Linked DNA regions of Styela clava. The protein of the gene in region 2 purifies or fractionates together with the protein of the main gene of each other region. This does not show direct contact. Links are inferred from orthologs where the notes say so. Each region holds a gene or a part of one and is shown on either strand. Other genes may lie near its edges.

Region 1 (15,563 bases), on a different chromosome or scaffold from region 2:
TACAGCTATATCTATACAGGGTGTTAAAAAAGTAAACCAAAATTAACAGAAGTTAAGATAAAATGCTACTTTAAATATTTAACGACTAACGCCTTTTAACAGTATTGAATTACAATTGAAATTTCATTTCAACATTTCTGACGCTTTTTAACAGTTACTTTTTTAACGTTGCCACGGCGAAAAATTTCACCTTAATTTTGCGTTAATTTTTAACACCCTGTATATAAATATATAATATATAGAAAATTCAGTGCGTTCTACATGCAAGCCATACATAAATTGTAAAACATGAATTCTAACAAAAATAGGACAATTAGGGGTTGGGGGGGGGGGGGGGGTAGGGATAATCGGACAACACGTTTTGAAACATATTTGTTAATAATTTGTTTTCCGGAAATACTGCTTCTTTTTTCTTATAATACTTTTTGAAGTGTTTTGGTGTTTCATTAACTTTTTGTGCTCACTAACCTGAATCAGCGAGTTTTTAAGGTGTCGCTGCTTGAAGACCTTATGAGGTACCTTGCGACTCCTGTCACCCTATTGTGTTTGAAATGCTTTTTTCTTATGATACGTCTATTTTGTGCTGACGAATAAAATGATGATGATTGATTGCGTATAATCAATTCCTAATAAATTAATAAATTTCGGCCAACTCACCAAGAGTTATCCAATATCCGAGTTTGATACAATCTTCTTACTTGATTTTGTAGATGACGATTAAAATAATAGAATTTTACTATTTCCCCGTCATTGTTTATAGATCCATTTTTGTCAAATGTAATGTTATGTTCAATTAATTTAGCATGCCAAAAAAGAGAAATAACAAAATATAAAACGAGAATATCGGTCGGAGACCGAAGACTCATGGATCGGAGGTTAGGGGATCCCCCAGACCAGCGCTCTTACTTCATAGTGACACCGTGTGTCACATCACTAATTAATTAATAACTCGCTAATTATACGACATCATCGAAAATCAATGGGCTTCTGTTCCGAACTGTGATGAATGCACATGCAAAATTTGGTGCAGATTCAACCTCGCTTTCGTGAGATATCGCGTGTATCTAACAGACAAACAGACAAAAGATCGATAAGTAACAAACTAGTTGTCTATGCTAACAGTCCAATAACAAAGTGTATTATATGTAACTGGCCCATATGTATTTACCCACTACTGACCTATATGGCAGTGCTACAGTCTTCCCCACGCCATCCAATATTTCTAACCGTCCGAAATATAAGCGAAATTACTTCACGTGTTCATCGCAAGGTGTGGCGCAAACGCTTTCTCCGAATGATTAAATAATAATGACAAACATCACTTTTTTAAAACGTAGCATCAATTTTTACGCCCGCACGTTTTCGCTTAATTGGACACGCTGTTGGCTGACGCAAGGGTTAGTTACGATACGTAACGTAAGACGCTCTTTCTGATCTTTTGTACAAAGCCCCCGCCGTCAATTTCTTAACTACTTCTTCGAAAATAAAGAAGATAATGATATATATAATGATATATGATATTTATTTTGTATATTTGCGTTCCATGCACGTATTTTTAACGTTTTTTTTTTTTTATTGAAATATACTTTTGCCTTACTGTTTGTAGTTTATTGTTAGCTAAATATATTTGCGTTGCACTCCTCAAAATAAGACCTAATCCAATCCAGGGGTGGGCAACCTTTTTCGACTCGCGTGTCAAAATCGGCTAAATTTAACGACGAAATTCTTCGGCGTGCCGACCGAAATTGAAAACAATGCTTTGCTGCTTCCAAAGCAAAAGTACACAACAATAAACCTTTTAAACCTGTACAGACAGATTCACTATTCGGGAAAATATCAGTCTGACAATAAATTTGATTACTTTTCTTATATATTCTATACCAGTGAGACTTCTGCTGCTGCATTACCGCTGATATAAATTTTGGTTCCATTACATTTGAACCCACGTACATTTGAACCCATGACAATTGCACCAGTATGCTATTGCACCTATGGAATTTTTTTTGTTTCACGGATAGTTAAACCCATACTAACCCTAACCCATGGGTTTTAGCACCCGCATATAGATTGAACCCGTGGATATACGCATGGGTTCAAATGTACATGGGTTCAAATGTACGGTCACCATAAATTTTACATCGGGTTTATATTTTGTAACTTTCAAAGAAATACGGGAACTAATGGTTTCATTTTTTAGGTCACTCCTGTTACGAGACCTAATAAAGTTCATAACTGAGAAAAAAAAAAAAATTTAGATTGCCAAGGTCCTAAAAACACGAAAAAATTTTCCGGAGTGGCATCCTAATCAAGCAATAGTTCGTTTTCTGCATTTCTCTCTTGTATTCCCTTCCCTAATCGATAGGATGGAATTTACATATTTATCCCGGGGAGAGAAAAACCGATAAGACGACTTAACCCTATGGCGAACCACGGCTTCTCGCCCGGTTACCGTTCCATGTCGGGTATGGGATTAGTTACCGGTAGTTATTTGTTTTCTGAGGTGTGGTGACGCGAACCCACACAGAGTAATCAGAGGTGCGGTGATGAGCGTATTCCTAACGCTTAGCACAATGAGCCACATCGCCGCGCACAATCGCTTATATTTCATTCGAAATCAATTTATAACAGCAAGTTAGCAAGTAAGTCTAACCAACATGTCCTGTACAACTTCATAAATAAAGCAGAAATGAAGAAAAGGATGGCACAGACGAATTATATTACGCAAGGATGTAGCCGAATGAATTCTGCGCTCTTCTCGACAAAATTTTTCGAGAGCTCACTCATTTGTTACGTCATAATATATTTCTTTGTAGCCTTATGTCATGAAAGGACAAAACGAGTTTAAATAAATAATGGATTGTTAACAACGAATAATAAATGAACGTCCTAGTTTCATCAGATAATTCTTGAGTCGTGAAACTTTTTATCTGAAAAAGAATGATCTGGTTTCCGAGGCCTCGCTCGCGTGCCGAATAAATGGGTTCGCGTGCCAGGGGTTGCCCACTCCTGTCCTAGTCGATAGCAAGGTATCTCTCCTACACGTTTTAAATGATTGATAATCTATGTTTTGCAGTTATTTTGAATAAAAATGAGTTATTTATAAGTAAATGGATATCATGCAATTCTCTACTTTGTAATTATGGTTTTGATAAATGATAATATAAGATATCCCCCGAAAATAAGTCCTAGTGTTATTTTTCGAAAAAAAAATTGAAATAAGACCCAGTCTTATTTTCGAGGAAACACGGTAGTAGTATATATTTACGGTAGTACATCCAAAAAAGTAAGAAAGGTAATAGCCCTCTAGCGATTATTTCTGAAAATTTGAAATCTACATGACCGTCAAAATTGCCAAATTTCACTACCCCAATACGAATAACAACAAATTCCGTTCGAGTTATATTATCGCCCAATTAAATAATTAGTTTAATTATCATTTCTGCTTTGTTCAATTTCACCTCACTAGTCACTACGCTCACACCGCACATGTATAAAATAAACGGGGAAGTCCCTTCACCTATTTCAAGTCCTAACCTAAAGCAGGCTACGGGCTTTTACGTTCAACAATAACTTGAAAATGGCAAAGGTAAACCAGAAAAAGGTTAAAACAGCGAGTAAGAAAACTAGCAACAAAAATAATAAAGTTTTTCAAGTCAGCAAAATCGGGAAAAAGAACCAGACAGGAAAGACAAAACAGAAAATCGCCGATAAAAAGAAGCTCCAACGAACTCAAGAGCAGGTTGCCAAATCTGACATCGCATACGACGATATAAAACACAGAATGACGAACGTTAAAGTAAAAAAAGAGACGAAAAGTGACAAAAAACAAAAATCTAAATCACGAAAAAGTGAAGTTGATTTAGAAAGCACTTTAGACCAAATGAAAATGCTTTGTAGAACGAAAATTAACCAGCTAAATTGATGTGGGAAATCGGTGACGTGTGGCTTACCAGAATATTATTACCTGAGTTCAGAAGTGCCAATGCTGCCATGGCACGCTTCATTATTTCCCAGGGCATAATGAACTCTGATACAATTTTCGGGGGGGTGGGAAAGTTAATTACATGACTTAATCCAGTAATCATATGAAGAACCATGGACTGCCATCCATGGGGAGAGCACCCTCCAGTCATAACCAAAAAAAAGTGTTTATTTATTTGTATGTATGCCTTCATATTTACATCTGTTTTGGTTGAGAAATCTATCTATTAGTCACAGAGCCAAGTTGGGTATTAGTATACTTGATTAGTTACTCATTCCAGATGCATGGGCTTGCATACTTCACGGGAGCGAGAAAAACCAAAGACATGGCTAAATCTAAATTGTTTGGCGTCTACCACTGCCGTCTCCCACTAACCAGGCTGGGCATGAGGGTACTAGATCAGAGGTTTCCCCCCCGATCTATTTGGGGCAAATACCCCCACTAACACTCCCCTAACATTAACACACTCTCCCTAATTTCGAGGTATGACACCACTCTTCAATTCAATACTTTGATATAATTGTATTTGAATATCCAGAAAGTGGCATATAAACCAGTTCTGATGATCAGTCAAGTTACAGATAGTTTTATCATTAATATTGAAATATCTACCACCTCCTAAATTTGGATTTTGTTCCACTTTTAGATGAGTGGGCACACCTTTTGGTATCACCTTGTTTAAAATTTGAGCATTTTAAACTTTAATTTTCATTGTTTTACTTTCAACCATTTATATCTTCTTTTATAGTGATTATGGAATTGAATCCGCCACATTCAACATTAATTCGTATTATTAATATGGTGTTTATTGCTTTCCTGAATTGGCATTTTTGCATATTTTATACAAAACAGTTTGATGTTTTTAAATTTCTATCATTCTAAATAATATTCCTCACTAATTGTGAATTGACTAGAGAAGAATAATTATGTTCGGGGATTCCAAGGTGCCCAAGTCTGTTCTGGTTTCATGGAAAAGTAGAGCTCCACTTATTGTAATTTGAAGAACATGTTGATTTATAACAATTTGTTGTGAGAACTTTTCTTTTCGAGAGGTAATTTCTCTGCAACTTGAATTTTTTGTTTTGGTAACTGTATGATTTAATTTGTACCATTGATATTAGTACTTTTCCTGGGTTTCCAGTGCACATATCTTGTAGAATATAATTCTTCGAAATAAAATTAGATGCTTCTAGTAATTTCTGCTGTTGGTCCTAGAAAAAATATCAGTACGCTCATGTTATTTGCCCACCACTGATCCATTTGCCTTCTGTCAAGTATCGCCACGTTACTCATTTGACAAATATTCGTCTGTCTTTTTGTTCATACATACATTTTAAGTGTACCGATATGAAGGTAAATAATTTTGTTCACCTATTTTACATCAAGCTGTGTTAAGGGACCGAAACCTATGGGCAGGTGGTATATTCACTTGGCTAACACAGGTGGTCCCCGAACTCGTAATAGAACTAAAATAAGGAGAATAAAAGGTTGGGTTTTTATTTTTACATAAGGCAAAGGCACATTGGTTTTAAAGCATTACCAGTAATGGCAATAAAGCCAAAACTCTCAGTTAAAGAGAACTTAAGGCCCAACACTGTTTTCCTCAATGCTTTTAATTCAGGCTTTGTTTCCAAGTGTAATAGAACTACAATAAATACAAAAATAACAGTTTAATAAAGTACAAGGACAAATCTACAAAAACAAAGATCAGCAAACAAAATATTTTAAAACGTGATAACTCAAACATAAATGTTCCAACTGAAAGGTGACAATGCTGCCAGGCTGTAATCACTGAGATTGATATCTTTGACCACAGAGATCTGCTGTCAGAGAAGTACATTTTTCTGGCCATGTTCACAACACAACGTGGGTACTTCTAGTTGGCGTGGCACAACCATTTTTGCATATGTTGTTCCTAACCCCCACTTGACTACGCCATTCAAAAATGACATCACAGTATTGTAATAAGGTCTTCCAAATTATACTAACTGTCATCCAAGAATTGTAGACGATCACCCAAAATCGAGCAAGCTATTCCTCTCGCTTTTTCTTCCTAATGATCCCCATATGAAAAAGATCGCTGGTGTTAGTGTCATTTCGGACTGACGTGATTATGAGGTCGTAGTGACGTAATCTTTGAATGACAGACCAGGTGGGGGTTAGGAATAACAAATGCAAAAGTGGTTGTGCCACGCCAAATAGAAGTACTTAGGTCGTTTAGTGAACATGCGCTCATTTTTCTGAATCTATTTATGGAAGGACTTTAGTAAATATTTCCAAAGAACAAATTTCCCAAAAATTATTCATATCATATTTGGTAAAACACGTACAGTGGTGAGAAAAAGTTATTAAGTAACCAATAATGCATAAAAAAAAGATTACACAGCCGATTTATAAGCGAATTCTGCCCCATTTTCTTTAGTAAATATGATCCCATTATTCCAGTTTTTCTAGGAGAATTGCTTAAATCAATGCCACACACTTAGAAGTGAAGAAGTCTCATCTTTGAGCAAAGTTATGGGCAACTGCTGGAAAGCCAAGAGCTATGCAGACTCATAGTAATATGTTAACTCGTAGTTGCTTGCGACTCTAAATAGCACACGCACATTTGATCCTTACTTAAAAGCACTAACGAGCCGCCTTTTGGGTGCCAGACCATAGAATGGGTATGGAACGTTGCCCCCACAGGTACCTGGACTGAAACAGACCCAGATGGGGACCAAAGATATATTTTATCATTTCCTGTAGCCACTGCCAAACGACAAGTCTTTGGATCCCATTTTAACGACTTGATTTGCGAAGTTTGCTGTAAAACGACGTACAAACATAGTTTTTGCATGCTCCATATAAAGACGCAAGTTTTCATACTGTCATCCACAGTCGCCAGATATTTGTTATCAGGACTGAATTCCATCCAACCAGCCCCGATTTTGGGGTTTGGCTTATCTGGGTTTGGGGGCATGAAAGGGAGATCAATGGGGTGTTCGCAAAATTCGTATCTACTTTGTGTGCTGAATAACGACGGCATCATGTTCGAGCCTTCTTCTTCTTTCGTGGGAAGAGTCGGTCGCTGTTCGACTTCTTTATAAACTACGACATTTCCGCCTTGGATTGTCGAAGTGTGCGTAAACTCTGAAATTGATTTCCATGTTATATGATTCAATAGGCGAACTTTTTGATCGTAACTCCCTACAGCGAGAAACTGGCTTGTCGGGGACCACGACATTTTTTTAATTCCTAATGCCCATTCGTATGCTTTATAGGTTGCTAAGCAACGGCCATCCATCGTATAGATCAAAACTTTATACCAAAGCATGTTATCTGCGACGCAAAGAACACGGCCATCTGGTGACCACTCCAACGAAGCCATATCTTCTGTGTCAGACTCAAAAATTTTCACCATTTGCCACGAGTCGACTGCGAAAATGCTAACATAGTCTTTGCATTTTCGAGTTTCACCGAGAGCGAGGTATTTTCCATCCTTTGAGAAGCTTAAACAATCTTTTGAATTCTTTACATATCGTATATAAGATACAGACTTGTTCACAAGAGACCAAACTGTGATTCGTAGATTAAAACTTGCTGTCGTAAGGATATGACGTCCGTCAGGGCTCCACTGAGCTCTAATAAGACCTGCCGACCCCTCATCAACTTTGCAAGTCCAATCTGGCTGCTCAATAGACCACACTTGAACAATGCCACGTTTAAACATAGCGCAGAGCAGGAATGCAGAGTCAGATGACCAACCGATTTGTTGAATAACATCCATGCATGTATAAAGTCGCAAAATTTGCAGAGTTTCGACATCTCTTATGATTAGTTTGTAAGAGACACAAGTCGCAATGTATTTTCCATCAGGAGAAAACTTACATAAAAAATTAGATTGCTTGAATAGCTCTGAAAAATTCATTCTTACGGTAAATCTGAAAAATTATTACACATGAAATTTAGAGAAGTGCAAATCGAAGTCTATCACAGATTTAAATCATATAGGCCTACTATTTTCAATGAAGAACACGATATAGAAGTTCTAGAACAGTGGTTCCCAACCCTTTTTTGGATCGTGGCCCACTTCCGGGGGCTTTTAGCACTCATGGCGCCCATGTTTATCAATCCAGTGGTATATATAGTGTTATTTTGATTGGTAGATTCCAAATGCCAATATGTTCAAACACTATCAACCTTAACAAAGTGAAAACACCCAGCGAAAAAACCTTATCAAGCAATGAAACTAGGAAAGACGGGGAGTTTTCTTATAAAATGAAATGTCAAATTAGCTTTTCGCCTAGCATTGTGGCCCCATATGATGGGAACTGCTGTTCTGGAAGTTTGAATTTGGAGATTCAGGATAGTTGAGATGAAGAGTGATTTGATTGGTTATTCTTTATCACTCAAAACTAAAAGCCTTTTTGATCATACTGTGAGATTTCAAATGAAAAGTTGGACATTTTCCAGTTATCCCTCTCCCCACTAATATCAACAATTCTCCTATTTTTTAATTTTTTGCTTGATAATGCTGGAAATTTTAAAAATTTTGCCAAATAATGGTGAATGTTTCATAGACATTCCATAAACAAAATACTTTTATTAGTGAGTGTGGGCATTCATATATTAGTGGGAGGGGGTTATAAGTAGGGGGGGAATAACTGGAAATATCCAGGATAAACAATTTTTAAATTCTCAAATCTAGAGTTTGAGAAAATGACCTAATTTAATTTTGATTAGAATATTCAATATCATTGTATGTATGTATGTATCATTGCTACGATTGGAACAATATTTCTCAGTAATTAAATTTCTAAAAATCATAACTATCTTACATGACAGTGTTACAAATAATTCATGCACGAAAAACGGAATATTACAACAAAATAAATTCAATCAAGCGTGAATATTCTACTAGAAATGTCATCAACAACCCAGTTCACCCCTTCCAATAGATTTGCCCCGGTTACGGCACTGCATGGAAAAATAGACCAATGATGTGTTTTAATACTGTCCAATTCCAAAACTTCTTTGATCTCTTCTGAAGAGAGAGACCCTGGTAGGTCCTGTTTATTCGCAAAAACGAGCAAAGTTGCCCCCGCCAGTCTTTCTTCAACCAAAAGAAGCTGCAATTCTTTTATACAATCTTCCATTCTTCGTTTATCAGCGCTGTCCACCACCCAAACTAATCCATCTGTACTCTCGAAGTAGTTTCGCCAATAAGACCGTAAAGATTTCTGGCCTCCAACGTCCCAAATGTTCAGTTTGAATCCACGATGTTCGATAGTTTTGATGTTAAATCCAAGCGTCGGCGAAATTGTATCGATATCTTCGCCGTTAAATTTCTTTAAAATTGTTGTTTTACCCGCGTTATCAAGGCCTAACATCAAAATTCGCATCTCTTTTTCTTTTTGCTTCATTTTTTTCAAAATTGTGAGCAGACCCATGTTGATATTGTGGAATTTTTCGACTAAAAACCAACAAATTCGAGTCAAAGAAAGGAAATATCGCGAGCTCGCCAACGACAAAAACTATTTGAAGAGGAGTGACCTTTAGCCCCAAACTGTTCCGCGCTAATAATTTTTCAGTTCTATTCCAGGCGCCAGATTCACATAACGAAAAACACAAATAAATGAATGAATACAAATAAATACGCACATTAAAATTGACAGAGCATATTTCAAATACAGATTGTCTGAATTAATGTACCAGGTGGTAACACCAAACAAATCAATCATTTAAAGATGAGTAATCAATAATGAATTGGAACAAATCGATCAAAAAAAAACGATTTCCCAAACTCTCTGGGCCATTCCCGGTGCACAATCGCATTAAAAGGCGTGATGCCCCCTATAGATAGATCGTATTTCTTCTCCACGAGATAAAAATGATGTCCTATCTTAGTTCAGCGGTATGGCGCATCGTACTATGCGTTAGGATACGCTCACCACCGCACTTATGATTACCCTTCATTTGTTTGCAGGTTCCTGTGAGAGATAATTATTTGCGAAAGAGTTGCTGGAGGTCTAGTTGCCGTAGGGGGTTCACTTCATCAGAAATAACTGGTTAATTACTTCCATACCGACATCACCCGGTGCACAACATAGACTGGTAACCGGGCGAGAGGCCGTGGTTTGCTATATGTTTGAGACGTTTGTCGGCTTTCCTTTTACCCGGGATAAATATGTAAATCCTATTCTGAATTTTTATTACTGTTAGACCTATAATCAAGTATGATGCTGCTTGATATTCAGTATTTGTTTTACGCGCCCTTTTTCATCTTGGAATGCCTTTTTTACATTATTTTCTATATTCTGTTCGTAAAAAGTTTGTTCTAAGTATTATGATAAAATAAACTACCGATTAATACATACCGAGTCTATGTTTCTGAAATCAAACAACTGGCTAACTAATCCCGTACTCCACATGGACCGGTAACCGGCCGAAAAGTCGTGATATGCCATGTGATTAAGCCGTTTTATCGGCTTATTATTACTTAGACTAATTAGCACGATGGTCTTTTAAACTTAACTTCATGATTTCACAGCAGGGTTCAGCTTGGAAGGAGAGAGTTTAATCTATAAGCTATTTTATTTTTATGCAATATAACAGCGTGGTCCAAGGTTGCTAGATCGAAGGACCGCAGAAAATTTGAAGAAGGCCTAGCGGGCCGCAGTCGGGATACCCAAAAGTAATCAAAGTACTGCGAACTGCGAGTTTGGTTACTTTAAATTTAAAGAATGAGAGTTTACCGTTATTATCATTTTATTGTTATGTTGCATCGGTGTCGTTTTTCATTATTTATGTTAAGGAAGATATATTAAGCACAAACAAAACAATGTGTTGTTTCTTGCTTTTGGTTACTGCTTCAGATATGCGTTTGACTACTACTGGCCCACGTTGAAAATAGAGATGTGCTAGTACTAAAATAAGGCAAAAAATGTCTGAAGGATAACAGCCTATCGACACGCGATCGTACCGGTCACAGAACGTCATTTTCATATCGACACCGCCTTGACGTTCATAAATACAACCTTCGTTATTCTAACAAATATGATTCCCGACATCGAAATTAGGAAAAGGTTTGAAATCTCGGGATCTCAACTCGAGTCAGAATAGCTAAAAAGAACTCAATGTTCCTCCAATAAATACAAATATCTGCCAATGGGCCAGGGTTTGGACCACTCTGCAATATAACTTTTTTCCCGGTAATAGAAAAATATTTATGAAATTTAAATAAAATTGTGCGTGCGTGCCTTAATTAGTTTTGTTACTTTTGAGTGAACGTTTTGCATTTTATGATGACACTCTTTTTTTCTTTTTTGAATTCTACTTGGTATCGTTATGAAAAAAATCACTTTTCTCATTGATTACTGGATCATTTGCTTTGAAATTTTCAGTGAGTAAAGATTATATTTCCTCTGGTTCGTTCTGGTTAACGTGATAATATCTTTGAGCATAGCTTTTTTGTGAAAACAAGAAAATGACATTTTTGAATCTAAGTACGTGACCTTTCATTAATTAAATTGTAGGCTGCGTCGAGATTAATTCTGGTTTCTTCTAATATGATGTCATAGGTTTTTGTTTATCATTTTAGGCTGAGTCGTCGCTCGGAGTCTGCTGTCATTTTTTCCTGATACATTGCGCGCTTTTGTTTGTGAATTTAGTGATTCTAGTGCTTTTTAAACACTTCAAAATAAAACTAAAACTAATTAAATAAAGAATTTAGTTTTTAAATAAAATTCTGTAATAACTGGTCTGATGTAATTTACCTGTAGACTACGGTACCGGTACCAACACACACAGACACAAGCTGTCAAGGAAATTAATCCGGTCGACATACAACCGCGGAAATAGTCCACTCACCGTTTTTTTTGTCATCACAGACAGCGTTCAACACTATTTAAGCTTTACATTTATTAAACTTGCTGGATTACATACCTATTCTGATTGACTCCGGTTGACTGGTGGATATTGATATTATAATTTCCGAACAGCAGAACTGATTTATTTCTACACTTACAAAAATTTTGGAATTTAACGTTAATTGAGGGCACTTTCTGACTTCAACTGTTGAAAAGGTTTGTTACCGTACTTCAGTAGGCCTACTTATCTTTTCATTTTACTTTTCTCTAAACAGCTGAAGGTTGTTATCACATATTTTGAATATTCTGTTCTAGACTTCTGTACTTTGATTGTTTGTTAATATTTTGATATTTGTGTCCCTGGCTCAATTTTATAATTTTTCAATAATAATAAACATTCAAAATGTTTACTTATTTACTTACGCTAGGTCCTGTACCGTAAAACCGGCTAACTTCGAATGATTTTACTATATTTTGAACAATATCTCTGCCGCATGTTGTTCAATTGAAGCCAAATTTGGAATATAATACATTGTGGCTATTCTCGTCATGGTCAAATCGGTTTCACATCCACCAAAGCCTTTTTTCATTGAAATTATCGACTTTATTCGTCTATTCTAAAATTATCTAACTTCGGATGGCCGCTTTTCTCTTTGCGTCACCTCGCCGTGAGAGAGAAATGTCTGCGTGAGCAGTGACGCATGACAACGTCGCTGAGCAGACCTTACGCCGCCTCGACGCGTTATGCGTGATGCATACTGACGTTCGTACGTGACGCTACTCTTGCCTCGTCGCGAAGCTGATATGTCGTAAACAGACATATCTAATCATCATGATCCTATAGAAACTTCTAGAAGTTCCACGCTAACCTGTTTAACGTTCCATGCTCAAGATCTTATTATCCTCGGTCGATCGTAAAGAGACATATCTAATCATTATGGTCGTATAGAAACGTCTAGAAACTGGATGTTTATCAGCCTAACGTGTTACCAATTGCTATCTATCGGTGTCGGAGAAAGTATGCAAAAACAGAAATCGACAAATTTTATATGCATCAAGCGTATGTATACGCATTATTTTTAAATAAAGAACATATGACTGAGACGATAGTGATGTTTTTGTAGGATTTAGGGACAAGGCTCATGGATGTCCTCAAATTTTAAATTTCACAATACTGGGCGCCGCGAGGTCTGCGTTCAAATGTCGCGGCGAGTTACGCACGAGCTACGCAAAGTGACGTCGGCTATGAAAAGAGAGAAAGCGATTTGTGTCGTTGACGTCACGCTGTACGTAATCATCAAAACGTCGAAATTTTGATGCAATTTTTAAATCAAAATAATCGATTTCACTCGAATCTCGTACGACACCTCGTGATCACTGTATTTTTTTGTATACATTGTGTACGCTCTCTAGCGCTTGGCGGTAATTTGGCGAAAGTCGCGTCGGTAGAAGTCATGGTTTGAGTCGCTCAAAAAAAGGTGTCATTTTTTTGGTAAAATATGATTTTTTGAGTAAAAAAAAAAAAAATCGAGAGACTGGAGGGTAGGACAGATTCATATATGTAAGGCCTTACTATAGAAACCGACAGAAGCGCAATATGACGAAATTCAGTTGAGATATGAACGATTGAAAATTTCATCCGAAGTTAGAAGGCATCCGAAATTAGCCGGTTTTACGGTACTTCTGTAATTTCATTGTTTTGTTACCATCTGTGTCTTTGACTCAATTTTATAAGGGCAAAAGCAAAATTTGAAAATGTGTACCTATCTACTTAGGTTTAGGTATTTAGTACAATATTATATTGTTGGGGTAATTTAGTGCTTGCAATCTTCCATACAAAGGCTTCTACAGCAATTATAACAAAATTAGCAGAGAGAAACTTTGTTCACATTTATAGTGAACATTTTGACTTTTCCTCTGATGCATCATTGCGGTACGGCACACTATGCAGATTGAGCAACATTGTCCCGTTTCAGAGAAACCCATTTACTGATGATCAGACCCCCCCCCCTTTGGGGACGTTTGGACATGGTTGTCCCTCAATATCGGTAAAAATACAGTAAAATAAAGTTGCGCAAAAAACTACAAAAAAAAATTCAATCTAAAAACGTCATCATTAGATTTCTCTGGAAAAAATAATTCGATTTGGCCACATGACAGCCGCGTTTAATTTAGATTATTATCGAGACAAGCATGGTGCAATATGCCTCATCTTCTGTCATGCTAGATGCCCCTCGTTTGTAAGACGCCTGGAGTGTTTATATTATTGAACCAAACGACGGGACATTCCTGGAATTTGGATAGTGTGCCCTATTGCATTGAACGAATTCTTGTTATATTGCTTAAAATTACTTTCTTTTTAGGTTTTTTGAAGAAAAGAGGAATTTACAAAAACAAATAATGCATAAGGAGTGTTCCCAACAAAATTCCACTACAATATTTTCTTCGCTTCTTGCTATTATTTCGTCAATTTCGAGTAGACTTTCGTGTGAGAACATTTGTAGTTTATAAACAAGTTAAAGGTCATTGAAGGTTGAAAGGTCATCACTGTGAAAAACTTTTTGGTACCGAGAAAATTGCACTTACTAAACAGGAGACATGAAGTTGTTAGAGAACTCTAACTTGGATCGTTTGAATAGCGTACTTTTCACGAAAAACGATGATTGTCGAATTATCGGACGTATCGAGAGTTATTCATGCAAAATGGCTGGCGATGACAAGCGACTTTTTAAAGTATTTTCACACGATGCTCCGCCTACTGATCTTGCTGCGTTAGCACCACCTCAAACGATTTTATCAGCGAGTCCGAATGCCGGAAATTACAGTCGAAGTTTGAGTAGCGCCGATGAGAATGACAACCCACTCAGTCACGTTTGCAGTCGCAAAACGCTCTATTATCTCATATCTACTCTCAACGCGTCATTTCGACCTGATTACGACTTCAGCCACTCAAAAAGTGATGAATTCTCTCGAGAACCGAGCGTCACCTGGGTGCAAAGTTTCATCGACAATACTCTAGGTACAGTTCTCGGCGAACACTACCATCGCCTTCACAGCACTCTCTGGAACACGGTTGATGAGGAGATCGACCTAAAAGAATGCAATGTCTACTCATACAATCCAGATCTTGAATGCGATCCGTTTGGAGACGAAGGATGTTTATGGTCGTTCAATTTCTTTCTTTACAATCTCAAAAAGAAAAGAATCGTGTTTTTCACGTGCAAAGCGCAATCTGCATCTGCTGATGATGACTCCGGCCTCGGAAGGGATAATCTTGACATGAGTGATGAGGAAATGGAGTATTTCCTCGGAATAGAAGAAGAAGAAAACTCGATGCCTATCGTCGTTGAGTGATTTTGATCGATATTAATCGTACTTTCGAATTGAAGTACGACATACGAATATTGTAAATATTCTTTCTGATTGCTCAATGCATGGTGTAGACCAAATTTAATAATTGATTATATGCTATATCAATAATACTACTTGAATCAATATATAATCAATTGATCTGTAAATTAACTGGAATTGATCTAGGCGAAATTTCAAACAGCCAATATTGTGGATTCTAATGTGTTTTTTCAAAAAATTGAAAAAGTATCGACCAATCTTGAAGCAATATAGCAATACTTGCTTATAACTGAATATATCAGACAGATTCTTACTGGGCATTAGTCAACAAACAAATAGAAAAATAGTCAGTTAATTACAATTTTTGTTGCTACAAATAT
Region 2 (15,894 bases):
TAGTTAATGCACGAAAACAAATTAATCTTATCACAAGTATAATGTATGCTATACTTACCACTACATACATAGGTATTGTTGTTGGTGGTTTGAAATCAGTTTTCAGTATAACTTCAAATATTTGTTTTTTCCATACTTCGGTTGTTATCACGTCTTCTATAAGCTTGGATACCTGGAAAAACATGTATACTGGTGAGCAAGAATTTCAGTAAATAAAAAAGTTATTTTTACACTGATTCGTCACCTAATCTCATCCATTACTACATCTTGAAACTTTTAAACTAATACTAGGATTAGAATCAATTAAATGCTCAAAAAGATGGATTTTTATGAGGTATTAATTACATGATTGAGCTCTGGAGGTGGAGACAGTCAATTTTCTGGTAGCTCCGACTTGAGCTTGGCTCCAACAAATTGCATGGAAAAACTGAATTTGGTTTTGAAAAAGCAACCTGAAAATTTTCAATATTGAGTAATGTTCATGTATATATGTCATTTTATTTAAATATCCACCTTATCCAAGTTAACAAGTGATTCCTTGATATACTCTTCTTTTTCTTCGGATGCATTCAACAATGCTTGCATGTTTAATTTTTCAACGTATTCATGCTGTTTCTGCCATCTGTGGGAAAGTGAAAAACATTGAAACAAACTGATGTGTCGCAATTAGGAATGTTATTTTACATGATGGTTAATTTTCAGAGCTTGCTTCGGAACAATTTCCTAACTATGGGACAAATACAAAATCCTCTCCCGTGATCAGTATTTCACCAATAAGCAAGAAAACTTACTGGTATTCGCTAGGTTTTAATTAGGGATACACTAGAATACGGCTGACGAATTATTGATATTGAAGTCAGCGCCACAGTCTCAATTTCAAAACACTCCACAGAGCCCAAGTAAAAATTTCAAATCCTTCAAGGGTGCTCCAGAAGTATGCGCACCAAGGTGTCGTACAACCTGAATCCTAACCGGTACACACGTACTATGTTCAGGTTGTGCGCCATCTTGGTGCGCATACTTCTGGAGGTCCCCTTCAAGAGTCAGAAATCAAAAAAACTTCTAATTATTGTAATCATAGTCAAAAACACTGTCTTGTGGTTGGAAACTGTCAACCAGGAGTCGATTTTAAATGGGTTGTCGAACATAAAATTCCCCCTATACTACAACCCTGGATTAAATAAACCTACTCATTCATCTATTATTTCTATAAAAGCCAGATTTTTCAGGATTCGTAGAGTATATTACACAATACCTTGGTCCACCCAGTTCCTTTATTGGAAACAATTGGAATCCTTCAATCAATGCTTCAGCTTCCACTGACAGTAGAACATAAGAAGACTCCCCAGATCCGTCTGTCATTTTTTCTTTATATTGCTCGATTAATGCATCGATAATGTAATGTTATTCTATATTTGTAATGAATTATTACTAAATCTACAAAGGAACATAAATACTATTTTATGAAAGATGTAAAAAAAGTTGAGAAACAAAATAGGAACGCACTAGAAAAACACACACAAAAATCTAGCGAATAAATTGAAATGCATTAATAATTCAATCACTAAAAATGAAAAGACATTATGGTTTAGCGGTTGCATTTGTCTGTATATATCAGACAAACTATGCCACAGGAATGATATTCAGGATTGAAGACAAAATTGTCATCAAATCCAAACAGGCACTAAAAAACGAGCTATTTTATGAATTTCAAATTTGTTATGTGAGACATATTCTATGAAATTCTACTATAATAAATACAATGCCTTCTTAATTCATCTTATTCGCAAATGTTTATTTGGGGATGCAAACTATAATGGGCATCATGTTTTACTTAAGCCGTTTATTAATATGAAAGTTTGCTAACCTTGTGAAAATCCAACTAGATTTAGGAACACCATTGTAAATGGAAGATCCATATGAACAGTGGATAAAAACACAAAAAGAATGCTCGAAAACAAAAACACCTACGAAAACATAAACACAGTTGATCAGGTACAAAAATGACCTAAATATCAGCTTCAATTCCATAGCAAATCCAAGTATTTAAATGACACATAACTGTTTTACTTTGCATAAGAAAAATGCAGCATGTTTCTCATATGCATCATAATGACATAAACATTGGATTTGAGATTTAGTTCAATATGCTATGTTTCACATAATCTAGAAAAGTGATTCCCAAATCGCAGCCCGCAGGCCAATTAAAGCACAGGTAATGATTTAATATAGACACCAAAATCCTGCTTGAGTGGAATAGTTTACCGCGCTTACCGTGCTTTTTTTTCTTTTTGTGTTCAAGATATACCACCAGTTGTTACGTCATTACCAAAGTTCAAGCACATGTATTTTCGTAACAATTCAGTTCGGTATCTTAATTATACATATTGGCACCGGTAAAAGGCCCTTGCGGAGTCTCCCCTCTACCTGCCCGCAAATATCATTCAGATTCTAATTTTGGTCAATTAACTCTGGGAACCACCGATCTTGATAAATCCCTGTCTAATAATACCCATTCAAGAGCAGGGAAGATAAATTCACACAAAAGGTGTAAATAAATTTGAATCTATATCTATCTAAAAAGGTTTTCATTAACCAAAAACCTGAAAGACAATTCTTTTTTATAAGAAAAACAAACATGCTGACTTTATGTAAAAGAAGTATCTATGAATAATATAGAACAGTTATTTTGACTGGTACACCATAGAATACCAGAAAATGTCTGCACCCCTGATTAAACTATTTTCATATTCTGGACTAGTATTCTAATGATGCTTTTCTTTGGCCAGAATTGTATCATAATGTCTTAAATTTTTACTCCTATCTATAGATACAAAAAATTGAAAATCTAAAATTGAATAGCAGATACTACAATTAAAAAGATTTTGGTCCCGAAATTTGTGTAATAAAAAGTATAGAAAATTGTGAAAAACACTGTTGGCACGAGAAGCAAGACATTGAGATAGATATTGGAACATAGCAGCAAATGACAAATGCAATCGGAAAACGAGCTATTTTGAAACTTGGAAAGTATAGTTACTTCGTGTCCAAAAACGATGCCCGAGCAGGACTTGCGGACCGGGGTCTTTGACTCGGTGATGGTCGATCTGACCTTGATGTAATGGGTGATGGTAAGTTATGCTTTCGTAACTCTTGAACTGCCCTTTCCCTCTCGTACCTTTCATTTGTAAGTTGTCTTTTTGTGATTTCTAAATCTGCGTCAAGTTGTGATACTTTTGCTCTAAGTGTGTTTACTTCTCGTCCTTGATGTGTAAGTTTGCCTTCTGCGAGAGATAGTTGATCTTTAAGGTTTTGATAACTGCCGTTTAACTCTTGCATAGAAGTTTGTGAACGATATTCTTTCTCGCGAGAAGAAGCGATTAACGATTCTAAATTCTTACGTTCCATACGATCGCTCTCGATTTGTTCTTGTAAGATTTCAACTTCTCGAGTTAATTCATCGTGTCGGACTTTAAGTTGTTCGTACTCAACATTCTTCGATGCGAGTTGTCGGACAAATTGTTCCTTGCCGATATCAAGTTTTGCATTAAGGTCTCGGGCGGAAGATAAATCTACAGCAATGAGAGAACGTTCTTCGTTTGAACGGTGAATCTCGTTTTCAAGACGCTGTATATTTGATGTAAGTTCTGCAATATTATTTTCATAAATTTGTTGAGAATGTAGATGTTCCAAAACCTCTTGCTCCAGACATCTATTCTTATCTCCGAGGCGAACTTTTTCATTTTCAGCCGTCATGAGTTCTAACTTCAGCGCTTGTGTTTCGTCTGCCAAGAGTCTGTACTTACTTTCAGTTGTATCTCGTTCCACCGAGACTTTTCGATATTGCTCGAGTAAATCTAGCATTTCCCTATCTTTGGAAGCAATATTGCCTTCAGAATTTGCGACTCGTGAAATGAATTCTTTAATTTTGACACGACCTTCCTCTCTTTCTCTTAACACATTGTCTAATTCGATATTTAAATCTTGATTTTCTCTTGTCAAGGTTGCGAGGTCATCTTGGAGTCGGCTGTTTTCTCTGACGGCAACATCCCTACCTCGTAATGCTTCTGCTAATTCCGTTTGTGTTGTGTCTAGTTGTCTACGCAAACTTCTTAATTCTCGATCAGAACTTGAAATATCTTCTGTGGCCCGATCCAACTGCTTTTCAATATTGCTAATTGTAACTCTTTGATCCATAATTTGGCTTTCTCTTTTTGCGATTTGATCTTCAAGCAAAGCTATTTTTTCTGTTTTTTCATCTAAAGTTGCTTGTAAACCATCCTTTTCTCTATCGAGGATAGTGACTGTGGTGCGGAGACCAGTGGCATCATCTGTTTGTCTCGTAGAAGTATCGAGAAGCTCCGCAATTCTGTTTTCAAGTACTCTGACTCTATCTTCTAAAACCTCGTGCTCTTTCATTTTTTTGGATAATTTTTGCTTTGTGTTTTCTAGTGATGCATCAAGTTGCATTCTACAAGTTTGGGAATCCTCAAATCTTTCTTGTGCGTCTTGTCTTTCTGCTTCTAGTTCATGTAGTTTTGCTCGAAGAGCTTTGAGATCCTCTTCTTGAGCAATGTTAGATTCCATTGTCGACTGCAATCTTGACTTAAGTTCGATTCTTTCTCCTTCTAATGCTTCGATTTTATCAGCTAGATCCGATAATCTTTGCTCTAACCTTGTTATATTAGTAGATGACTGATTTTTTTGAATATTGATATGTTCTCGTAAGCTGTCACGTTCGGTTGTCATTCTACGGAGATCAGAAACCGCATTGTCTCTTTCAGTTTCAACGCGCCGTAAAATCGCTTGTGCTGTCAATGATGCTTTAGCAGATCTCGGAGATCGTACCGCTTCTCTTCTTAGTCTTTGCAGCTCATCATGCGTTTGTTCATATAATAAATTTGTCTTGTCACGTTCCTGTGTTAAAATTTTCACATTCGCTTGAATTTCAGACATGTGTCTTTCGAACTTATCTAACATAGCTTGTAATTCATCTCTTTCTCGAATTACTTTTTCATATTGTTTAAATTGTTCCGAAGCGCTTTTATCCATAATTTTATTCTTTGGACTTCTTGATGTCGATCTTAATATATCAGAATCTTTTTGTTTTTCTCGTTTCTGTAACATCGAATTGAGTAAATCACATTCGTTTTTATAATAATCACGTTCATGCTCCAACGTTTTTATGAACGCATCTAATCTACTTTCCCCTCTATCCTTCCTGTGTACCCCGATGCCAGATAATTGCTGATCTTCTAATTCCATGACAAGTTCTCGTTCCTTGTCCATGAGATTTTTAACTTGTTTGCTAAGAAGATCTTTATCGGTTTTAACTTTGTTTAATAATTCGTTCAAACCATCAATTTCTTGTTCTTGTGATTGTAATCTTAAATGAAGATCCTCATTTTCAGTGATTAACTTTTCTCGAGATTCCTCGGCATTTACAAGTTGCGATTCCAAGTCATTTTCTTGTCTTTGTGAGCGTCTTAATTCCTGTTGCGCTTCATGAATTTCCAAATCTGCAGCTGAAACTGCTTTCCTTTTATCGTTTTCCAGTTGATTAGCAAGATGATCGATTTCTTTAATTTCCAGTTTTAACCTCTCCACCTCATCAGCGTAACGTCTCTCACTCATCTGACATTCCTCATGTTGAGCTTCATCTTCTTTTAAACGAATCTCGAGTTCTTCGTTAGTTTGTTGTAAATACTCAACTTGTAGATTCAAATGAGAGATCAATCGTTCATTTGCGCTATTTTTTGCTTCTAACGACAAAACATCATGTGGTCTGCCGCCTTCGAGACACCGATTTAAGCGTTCTATTTCTCTATCTCGCATTTCAACTTGACCTCGTAATGTGCTTATCTTCGACTCACAAACATAATTCGATTCCGATAAGAGTTTTAATTCAACAGCTAATTGATCAATTTTCGTGTCGGCAACTTGCAATAGATCAGCGATATATGGGTCATCGGGTTGAGTCGATATATACGAAGCAGAAAATGATGGCGGAAGTGTACCATCAACTTGCATATGTTGCCTTCGGAAAGGAATGTTGCGTTTTCTGCCTCCCGGTGTCTGAATTACAGCCTGTAAATTCTTTTCCTGCAGTTTTTGAATACTTTCTGTTTTCGAAGCCGTTTCGCTTTCCAGGACACGAACTTTATGAACAAACTGATTATTCAAAAAACGTAAATCTGAATTTTCGTGATCAAGTTTGATGATTTTAGATTTTAATTCCTTCGAAGTTGCATCGATTTCTTCTTTCAATCTAACACATTGTAAATGAAGACTGTTATTCTCTTGTACAAGACGAGCGTTGTCCTTGCTATATGGTTCCAAAATATCATCAATATTTGGATTAGCTGTTGGTGCAGCTGCTTTATGCAAATTAACTTTTGCCTTCTTCAATGAATCTGTCGTGTGCAACAAATCCGAGAACAATTGATTTACCAGCGGCATAGAATCGATACCAAAGGCATGACGATAACCCAGTTGATCCAACTGCTTTCGCAGGGTCACAAACTTTTGTTCTGTAACTTTGTTCATCGTGAATCATCTGCAAGGAAACAATTCATGGATTAATCAACCTCTTAAATAGATTACTATCAACAACATTCAACGCTGGCTCATGATTTTTTATGCTAGTGCGCTCAAAGTGGTTTGCAGACTTTTCTAAACACAAAACTGATCGAGTTATGATTCTGTTTTACATTCACCTTGGAAGTTATTGAAAAACAATAATATATAAATACACAAATATTTATAGTGTTATTTACAGATATTTATTCACCATAGTAGCAACATATATCGCTAACTGCTGCACCGTAACAACGGTTATTTACTAACTATGCTCGGCTTGCAATCACTGTCATAATTGATGTATTTTAATGTGGGGCTTCTCTCTTGGAATCGGAGAACTGTGACGTACTGGATTTTGAATATATCTTTATTCAAATATTGTTCGTTTGAAATAGAAAATGGCATCCAATAAAACAATAGTTATTCAAGTACAACAGAAATGCATACAAACTCCTATTTTAAATATTCATCTGATTTACTGTGTCATGATTTTTACAGATAGGTATGCAAACGACTCAAATCTGCATTTTATTTGCGACCACTATACAGATTTTGGGTCTGGTATAGTTTAGTACCACATTCACTTCTAGTTAGCCTGGCTCAACAATTTTTGCATATGTCAATCCTAACCCTTACCTGACTACGTCACCAAAAAATTACGTCATCTCGACGTCGCAGTGGCGTAATAAGGCCCACCAAAGTATGTGGATGGTCGTCCAAATCGCGCAGACGATCACCCGAAATCGAGCAAGCTATTTCTCTCGTTTCCTTGTCACAACGATCACGATAGGAGAGAGATCGCCGGCTTTAGCGAGTTCGTTATCGGAGGAGCAGATGCCATTTCGGGCGATCGTAATTATAATTTGGCAAGCCCTATGACGTGATGGTGACGTCGTAGTGACGTAATTTTTGGATGGCATAGTCAGGTGGTGGTTAGGAATAAAATATGCAAAATTCGTTATGCTACGCCCAATGAAAGTACTTGTGGTACTAAACTATACTAGACCCCAGATTTTATGTAGTCTAAAATCAAGGCATGTCTTTTGCAGTTTTGTCAATAACATCTTTCAACAGTCTGACAGTTTGGCACAGTTCTCCATTCCGAGATGTCCCATCATTCAGACATCAGGTTCAATAAAACAAGCACTCCCTTGTCTCTCAAAAAAGGGCATAAACTTCCTGGGCAACTCAAAAACACAGGTGTAATAAATATTTATATTATAAACAGTGAGGACAGAAGTAAAACTGTTCTATCTAGGTATCATTCAGACAAATGCTGAATTGCCAGTTTAATCAATCAATCAATCAATTTTATTTCGGTCGCTCTGGTATAAAACAAAACAATAAACGAACAAACACAAAATTAATTTAGTTTAATTAGGCTAACACGTTGCAGGCAGCCTTAAGTATTCTACAAAAAATAATTATTTCAATAGCTCACTTGATCATCCTTCGTTAGTAATAATTTATTCCATATCCGATTCTTTAATGAGCCTAACAATGAAATACAACCAACGGCAATAATCCGCGAGCGAATCGTCAAAATCGACGAGGGACGGCACCGCAAAGTAAACAACACAGCATACGGTAAGTTTCGAAAAACAGAGGGAAACGGTTGACTGTAATTTTTCAATTCAATAGCGCCATCTAGCGTCTCACAACTTCTCAGATAAGATCGGACATAAAACATCGTTACCCTATGTTCTCTATTATCGTTTCACAGCTCTGTTGTATGTATACCAGTATACGATATTCTTTGACTATTTAATAATCCACATTGTGGAGCTCGTCAAAATGAAATATATTACAGGTACCGGTTTTGATACGTTATTGATAGTAGTTTATTCCTAGGTAAGTGATGCGAATTTCGAAAATATATCTCTTCCATACGGCAGTACGGTAAGCAAGTACCTTCACGCCCGCCGACTGGCGGCAGCAGTAAAACTGTAAAAGTCGGGGTAATGTTTTTTCAGTTCGGTAATATGCTTGGGGTACTATATTTCTGTATTTGTTTATTGCTGATCAATTTAGGCCATATCCATTTCTAAGGAGAGTTCTACTCGTGTTGACCAGCCAGTCTAGTATAGTTCAGTAGTTTAGTATCACTGTACAGCTGTAGGCTACCATGATTCTGTAATTACTTCCAGTTGGCATAGCATAACGAATTTTGCATATGTCTGTATGTTATTCCTGACCCCCACCTGACTATGCCATAAGATCGCCGTGGACCGAATAGTAATGTTTTTATTTAGACGTATGAAGAAGCAACTGCGAGTTACGTTTGACTCATAAAATTAATATATAAAGATATTTCAGAATCTCGTAGTTGTCATGGATTGAATATTTTACGTGACAAGATGATCATTATACGCTGAAAGGAACGAGCGCGGAATCGCGGTGGCTGTTACAGGAGGCAATGGGAATTTCCGATTTCGAAAATCGTGAAATCCTTGAAAACTTATTGCTAATTTCAGACATAACAATATGATACACATAATAACAATATAGTTCACATAAATTAATATACAAATATACTGGTAGGTAGTAGAATACTCTAGACCAGGGCTTCCCAAACTTTTGAGCTCGCGGCCCCTTTTGATATATTAAAGTTTTTCGCGGCCCTTGTTCACGCTAATAATGCTAAAAAGTTCAAAATATGCTTTTTAATATTTTATTGACACAGCCAATTCTTAACTTTTAATAGGGCTACTCAATAACAAAAACATCTTTACTCAAATTATTCAATGTAATGGTGCAAATCTTTCTTGCTCAACTCTGCCTAGTTTTTCTTCAAAATGCTCAAAACTCACTCATGTTCGATGAGATTCTCATGTTCTGAAAGTTCGGTTTTCTGTAGATAAAGATTATTTCTACTTGGTTCAAAAAGCGTTGCGCACCACATCTCCTTTGCGATTTCGTATTTATATTAAGCAGGCTTTTCTACCATGGCCCATTGAATTCGATTTCACTGACTGTTGTTAGATTTTGTTTGTTCGTTTATATTAAACTCAATGCAAAAAAGGTATTATATTATATTAAAAGATATTATATTGAAATGTATCAATACGTACGGTATTTTTCACGGGAAGTCGCAACTTGAGCATATTTCTGGAGGTCGTCACAATACAATTAAGTTCGAAAACTACTGAGTCCTATAGTTGAAAGAAATCTACTTTTTAAATTGTTGATAACCTATATGTAGCCGCTATTTTTAATGGAAACGTGCTATTAAATTTGTATCATATTCCGGTATTCATATTTCGTATATTAATCTCGTTATTCTCAACATCCCCCTAAAATGAGCTCCAGTGTTCAAAAGAAAATTGATGACAATTATTATCGGGAAAACACGGTGTGATGATGTATATTCACTCGGAATCGTGAATTTATCGTTTTACACTATTTTTAATGATTGTATTTCAAATTAGGAGTCTGAAAAAGTGCAATAGATATAGTACTTTGTGTAAAATTGGTGTTCTCTTCGCGACCCCTTCCAGGGCCGCGGCCCCTAGTTTGGGAAGCCCTGCTCTAGACATAATGGATATTCGAATGTTGTTCCTTGCTTCAGTTGCCTGTATTGCCAATGAATTTTATTACTCTCAGAAAATATACACACTTATCTGAATACAAGTAGTGTTTTTGTCAATAGACTTGACTATTATCGTAAAATCATGGTACCATTGATAGAAAGCGTCAGACAACTCCTTGGCTATCTTTTCTTATGGTCATTTGTACTAAGTGTACAACTGACTGTGTCACAAGTTGCTATTATTTTCATTGATAGCTATAAACTATCAATTAATTTGTGTACATATACTGTTGGTTTGTGGCTTTATTCTGATATTTCTATTGAAGCTTATTTCCTATTTTACTGGGTTTTAATGGACTAAAACTAAAAAAAATATGTTATTTTCGATTTTAGAATGTATTCGGAAATGGCCATCCCTGCTCAAACCTCAAATAAGTTAGACATTTATGGACCTCAGGGGCTTGGAGTCAAAGTTTTTAATATATTGATATTATATGATTATATTGATATGATTCTTTCCACAGCAAGTATTTTTTTGGTCCTTTGAACATTTTAGGAATTATTTCGTACATATCCCACTTACCGTAATATGCATATAACTGTTTTTTTCAAGTTTTATATCTATTCTATTGATAGATATATTTATTAAATATATGTTTTTTTTATAATCAGTATATAATTTTATTGAAAGACTAATTAATTCGTTCTTGGGGTTTCGTGCTGCAATGGCAATATCACATTCTTCTATTCATTCTAAAATGAGTAATGCTTATTGGCACCAAAAAATTTTCTTCCAGATAATGCCATTGAATTCCAATTGTCTAGGCTCATATACTTAACAACAAACAACATGCTTTAAATTACTTGATTATGCAATAATATTCCTTGCAACAATATAACCCATTCGTTACACACTGTGTGAGGCTACGACATATGTCTGGCCCATGCCAGAACCATTTTTAATATTTTAGACCTGTGTTGTCATCAAAGCCTGGGCAATATGCTATTTATTTAATCTTACTTCTGATACTATTTTTTAGCAAATATGGCAGAAAAAATAAAATTTTCTAAGATGAATCACTGGTTGTCCAAAGTTGTAGCAGACTTTCAAGAATTGTCAACTGAAGATAAAATTACAGCATTGGATGGGATTATAGATGCATGTGAAGCACCCGAACTGAAATATCTTTCAGATCGTCTGGAAATATTTTTGAAGCGGGACTTTGTTCGATTTCTTCCAACAGAAATATGTATTTATCTTCTGAGCTGGCTAGATCCCATTTCATTAGGACGATGCTGCCTAGTCAGTAAAACTTGGAATGAAGCTGTTTCTGCGTGTCAGCCAGCATGGTTAAAAGCATGCAAGACTATCGGGTGGAAAGTGGATGATTCCATAATGTCTGGAGGTTATTGGAAAAAAACTTACCAGCGAGCTCTGATAAGACTACAGCAATTAAAAAGTGGTTCTGCTTTTAAGGTATTAACTTTACTTGGACATACGGCTCGTGTATATACTCTTCGATACAACGGAAATAATTTGATGGCGTCTGGTTCAGATGACCGAAGCGTGAGACTTTGGGATGTGGTAACCGGAGAATGTTTACAGATTATACAGACTCATACATGTGCAGATCTTGCATTTGATGAATATTTTGTGTACACTGCTTCTTTCGATAACACGATTGGATGTTGGGAGTGGAGTTCGGGAGACATGATTCGGAATTATAGAGGACATACTGGGGCTGTTTTTAGCGTCTCTTATGACAATGAAAGAGAGTTGCTTGTATCTGGATCGGCAGATAAAACAGTTCGTTTATGGCAACTTTCAACAGGTGAACAAATAAACATGTATCATGGACATAGAGAATGGGTAACAAAAGTCATTTTAAGAAAGAGTGAAGTTGATTCCCTTCACCATAAGCCTGGTGATTATGTTATCTTATCTATGGACAAGGTTGAGATAAGAATATGGCTGATAAGTGAGGAGGTCAACTGTCAAAGTTTATGTGAATTATCAGCTACTGATTGTAGTGATAAACTTTTATCAAATTCAATGCCATCTTATCCTACTACTCCTCTTAATACTGATGATAACAATGAACATTGCTTCCTTCATCCGCAACTTCTTTTTGATGGCACACGGATTATGTGCTCATCCGAGCGAGGAGTATTGGAATGGGATTTTAAAGACTATACTCTAACTCGAGTAACTCCTCATCAAAACGACCCATCTTTTCTACTTGGAGCGGGTAAAACTATGTTTTTTGCTGCAGACACTCGAGAAAACTGTTTGTTTATTAGAGTGCTTGATAGCACCACAGAATCGCAACATCCTAATTTGTTAAACCGTAAAAAACTAGTGTTAGAAAATAATCCCTCAGTTAGTCACCCAAGTCCTAGTCCGGAAACGGTCGACTATGAAGTCGAATCAGAGCCCTGTAAGGCTTGTTGCAGCAGTTCATTACCTGAACAATCATTAAAACTTCCAAAATTTTCGACGAAACTAAGCCTGGAAGTTACTGAAACCCCAAATACAGACGATTCTGCAAGACATCATGGTATACCTAATAGTAGTAGCACAGTTGAAGATGAATTAATTAACGATATCAATTATAACAGTATTAAATTACCAAAATCAAAGACTGACAGTCATATTCCTACTGTAATATCTAATAACATAACTCCCGACGATGGAGGCACTTTTCAACTCCAACAGAATGTTGGAACGGAAAGTCTTCCAGGCGTTTTGGGGCGGTGGAATTTACCTATGTGTCGTTGGTCAAAACGAGGTTCAAATTATGTTTGTGGAGATCAATCGTGGTTGAATGGTTTTAGTGATGCGAACCATTCCGGTTTAGTATTTGCAGCGGCGTTACCAGACCATTCTATATATTTATTACAATGGTCTGATTGTTCATAGTATTATTGTTGTTAAATAATCATAGCCTGAGAGAATTTAAAATAAATATATAAAATATATGTAATGTTCTATTTATTAAAAAAAGCATTGGATATTCAGATAAACAAAACTACTGCCATTTTAGTTTTCAATACAGTAACAGCACAATTTTGGGAATATTGGTGATTACTGAAAAAGGGGATAATTGTAATATATGGATTGAGCACAGAAAAAGAGTACGAGTAGATTGTTAGAAGCGGATTATTCCCAGCAGTAGTCCAAACCCCTAATTTAGATTTGTCGATATTCCTTTATTCCTAGGCTAAATATTTCCACTGCATATTGAGACTAACTATAATATAGGTGCATCAGCGGCATGGCAATTAATGATAGGTAGCCTCCAAGTAAAGTGTTTTTTTTATTGGAAGTGACATCCGATTTTTGTACACTTTGTTGTTTAGAAAAATATAAAATATTATTGATATACAAAAATAGTTATGGTAGTTGATAATAGCTAAAATGTAACAGTTTCCATCATTAATATTTTGCTTTCAACAAGATTTTTCAACCAGATTTCACGAAATCTTGATTTTCCTGGCCTGAAAATATATATGATGTAAGGATAGAGATTTTGTGTAAAAATAAATACAACAACAGTCATTACAAAATCACTTACTTATGGACTAATCTGTTTCCTTCGAATATGTAAAATACTTCAACAGGCAAAGTCTGTAAAAATGAAGTTTATTATTGGTCGCTGACAATGACACTATATACATACAAATGCTCAGGGGAAATCAATATTTCAAGATACTTAATTCTTTATGACATCATGAAAATTTTTTCATAAAGTATTCTTTTAGCATCGGTTTCGCCAATGCGGTGTTTCTCTTTAATATATAACTATACTAGATTAATCAATTTTCAATTTTGATTACTTGAAGAAAATTATCTGACAGTGAAGAATTACTTGGAAAATTGCACACAATTATCATGGTCCATGTCCATTCATTCGTATTACTTTTTGCTTTCTCGTTTTAATAATGTGTTCTCATACCATATGATTGCGCCTGAATGTTTTTTTATATCGTTCTTTTTATCATCAGAGTTCAAAATGGAACATTCGAAGGCAATCAAACTGAGGACCTTAGCACTGAGATTTCACTAACTATTTTAAAACCATTTGACAAAATGAATGTCATAGTTCTGACCAAGTCTATGCTAGCTTATGGAGATAGTACAAAACATTTGCACTTGCACATATAGTAGTACCCTTCAAATGCCTCACTTTAGTTTATTCTACTAGACTTTAGAATTGTTGACAAAATTTTGAAGCGTTTACCTTAGGTTTAATCTTCGAAAGACTGATTGTAAAGTAGACACAGGCAGTTGCTCTAGGTATTGGTTTTCTTCTAGTTGGTATGCTCCATCTTACTCTATATTTATGTCGAATATCATAATCAAATTCTGTGTCACCCATATAATCGATACAGTATAACCATGCTGAATCTCGCTTCCAAGTCTGTTATAGTAAAATATATCTAATATGAATATATTGTATTATGAAAAATGTTTCATATAGGTAATCGGCGAAGAACTAGAATAACAAGTTAATATGCTGCAAGAGGATATCCGAACTCCTTGCTCTTGTAGAACCTGAAAACTATTTATAGTCTATAAAATTAAACAATTACCGTAACTTGTTAGCTATTACAGATCCAGCCTTAACTTATCACCAGTCAAAGATTGTACATATAGGTACTCCTAAAGTATGCACACCAAGATGTCTCACAACCTGAATCTAACCTGGTACACAACCTGAGTTCACGTTGTGCGCCATCTTGGTGTGCATACTTCAGGAGGACCTACATAATTGGCTTCAACATTTGAGAGCATAGTTTAGTGAAGTTCTCTATATAATACACATTTGCATACACATTACACATATATAAAATTTAGCACAAAGAGCAAAATTCAAGACATACAGCGATGAACTTCTCTATCTGACCCACTCCATTTTCTGGAGTGAAGTTTTCACAAGACGACCATTCTATGTTTGGAATTCCAAAGTCTTCTTTATCTTCAAATATTATTGGAAGGTTGGCCTGAAAATATATATATATATATACGGTCAGTGATGAGCTAGAAAAATCGTAACAACCGGAACGCACCAAATTCGTGAAAATGTAATATATATTTACAACACGGCGCTACCAGTAATTTTGTCTATCGTAAGATAGAGCCGAAGAACTACAATGAAATTATCTGAAATATGACTTTTTAAAATTGAAAGAATATTCATACTAATTCAATACAAATGTTCACAAGGGTCAAAGGTCGGCAAAACATTCATTATACATTACTGCTGTGCACTAATTATTTGCCAGCTGAAATGTAAAAATAATTATGATGCAACAAAACATCAATTAATAACTAAGTTTCCCGAGGAAACCAGACTTTTCGAACCATAATTTTATTTTAACAACAGGAACGCAATGAACTGTCCAACAACCGGAACGCCGTTGGTATATGAAGCTTCAAGGCCTATCCAAGCCAGATTTGACATATCATATAAAATATACATACCAAATTATGTCTAATTTCAACTGAAACATCATGAACAGCTTTTGCTATTACGTCGTCGACTATTTTGAATGCTTCCTCATCAAATTCAGCAGGATCTTCATCACTCCATCTTACAGGCATTTTTTAGTCACAACAACTATACAGTAGTATCCCTAAAACCTTTAAACCTATCAATATGGTACTATGAAATTAATGATAACAAGGTAAAAATAGTGAGACACAAATGAAAGTCGCACAATTCACAACACAGTGATGAAAATGATTTATGAAAACTACAGGATTACATTAAAATATACCTAGT

What was found.
Region 1: the proteins of centrosomal protein of 135 kDa-like (region 2) and WD repeat-containing protein WRAP73-like purify together in Homo sapiens (co-immunoprecipitation; 6 studies listed by BioGRID and IntAct, counting the BioPlex papers as one, with this or other methods). This does not show direct contact. The link is inferred for Styela clava from reciprocal best matches to the Homo sapiens genes CEP135 and WRAP73.

The regions. Positions count from the first base shown.
Region 1 is NC_135264.1:16,445,771-16,461,333, reverse strand, and holds WD repeat-containing protein WRAP73-like, read right to left. Parts: upstream 7,895-15,563; 5' UTR 7,893-7,894; coding exon 6,549-7,892; 3' UTR 5,575-6,548; downstream 1-5,574. Other genes in the region: ADP-ribosylation factor-like protein 2, read right to left, coding at 8,860-9,414; repressor of RNA polymerase III transcription MAF1 homolog, read left to right, coding at 14,431-15,186.
Region 2 is NC_135258.1:9,380,421-9,396,314, forward strand, and holds centrosomal protein of 135 kDa-like, read right to left. Parts: upstream 8,184-15,894; 5' UTR 8,021-8,183; intron 6,557-8,020; 5' UTR 6,547-6,556; coding exon 3,037-6,546; 3' UTR 1,437-3,036; downstream 1-1,436. Other genes in the region: zinc finger MYND domain-containing protein 10-like, read right to left, coding at 59-172, 514-622, 1,256-1,362; F-box/WD repeat-containing protein 2-like, read left to right, coding at 11,154-13,028; A-kinase anchor protein 14-like, read right to left, coding at 13,522-13,606, 13,684-13,736, 14,350-14,529, 14,993-15,112, 15,594-15,713. UniProt on the Homo sapiens protein: Centrosomal microtubule-binding protein involved in centriole biogenesis. Acts as a scaffolding protein during early centriole biogenesis.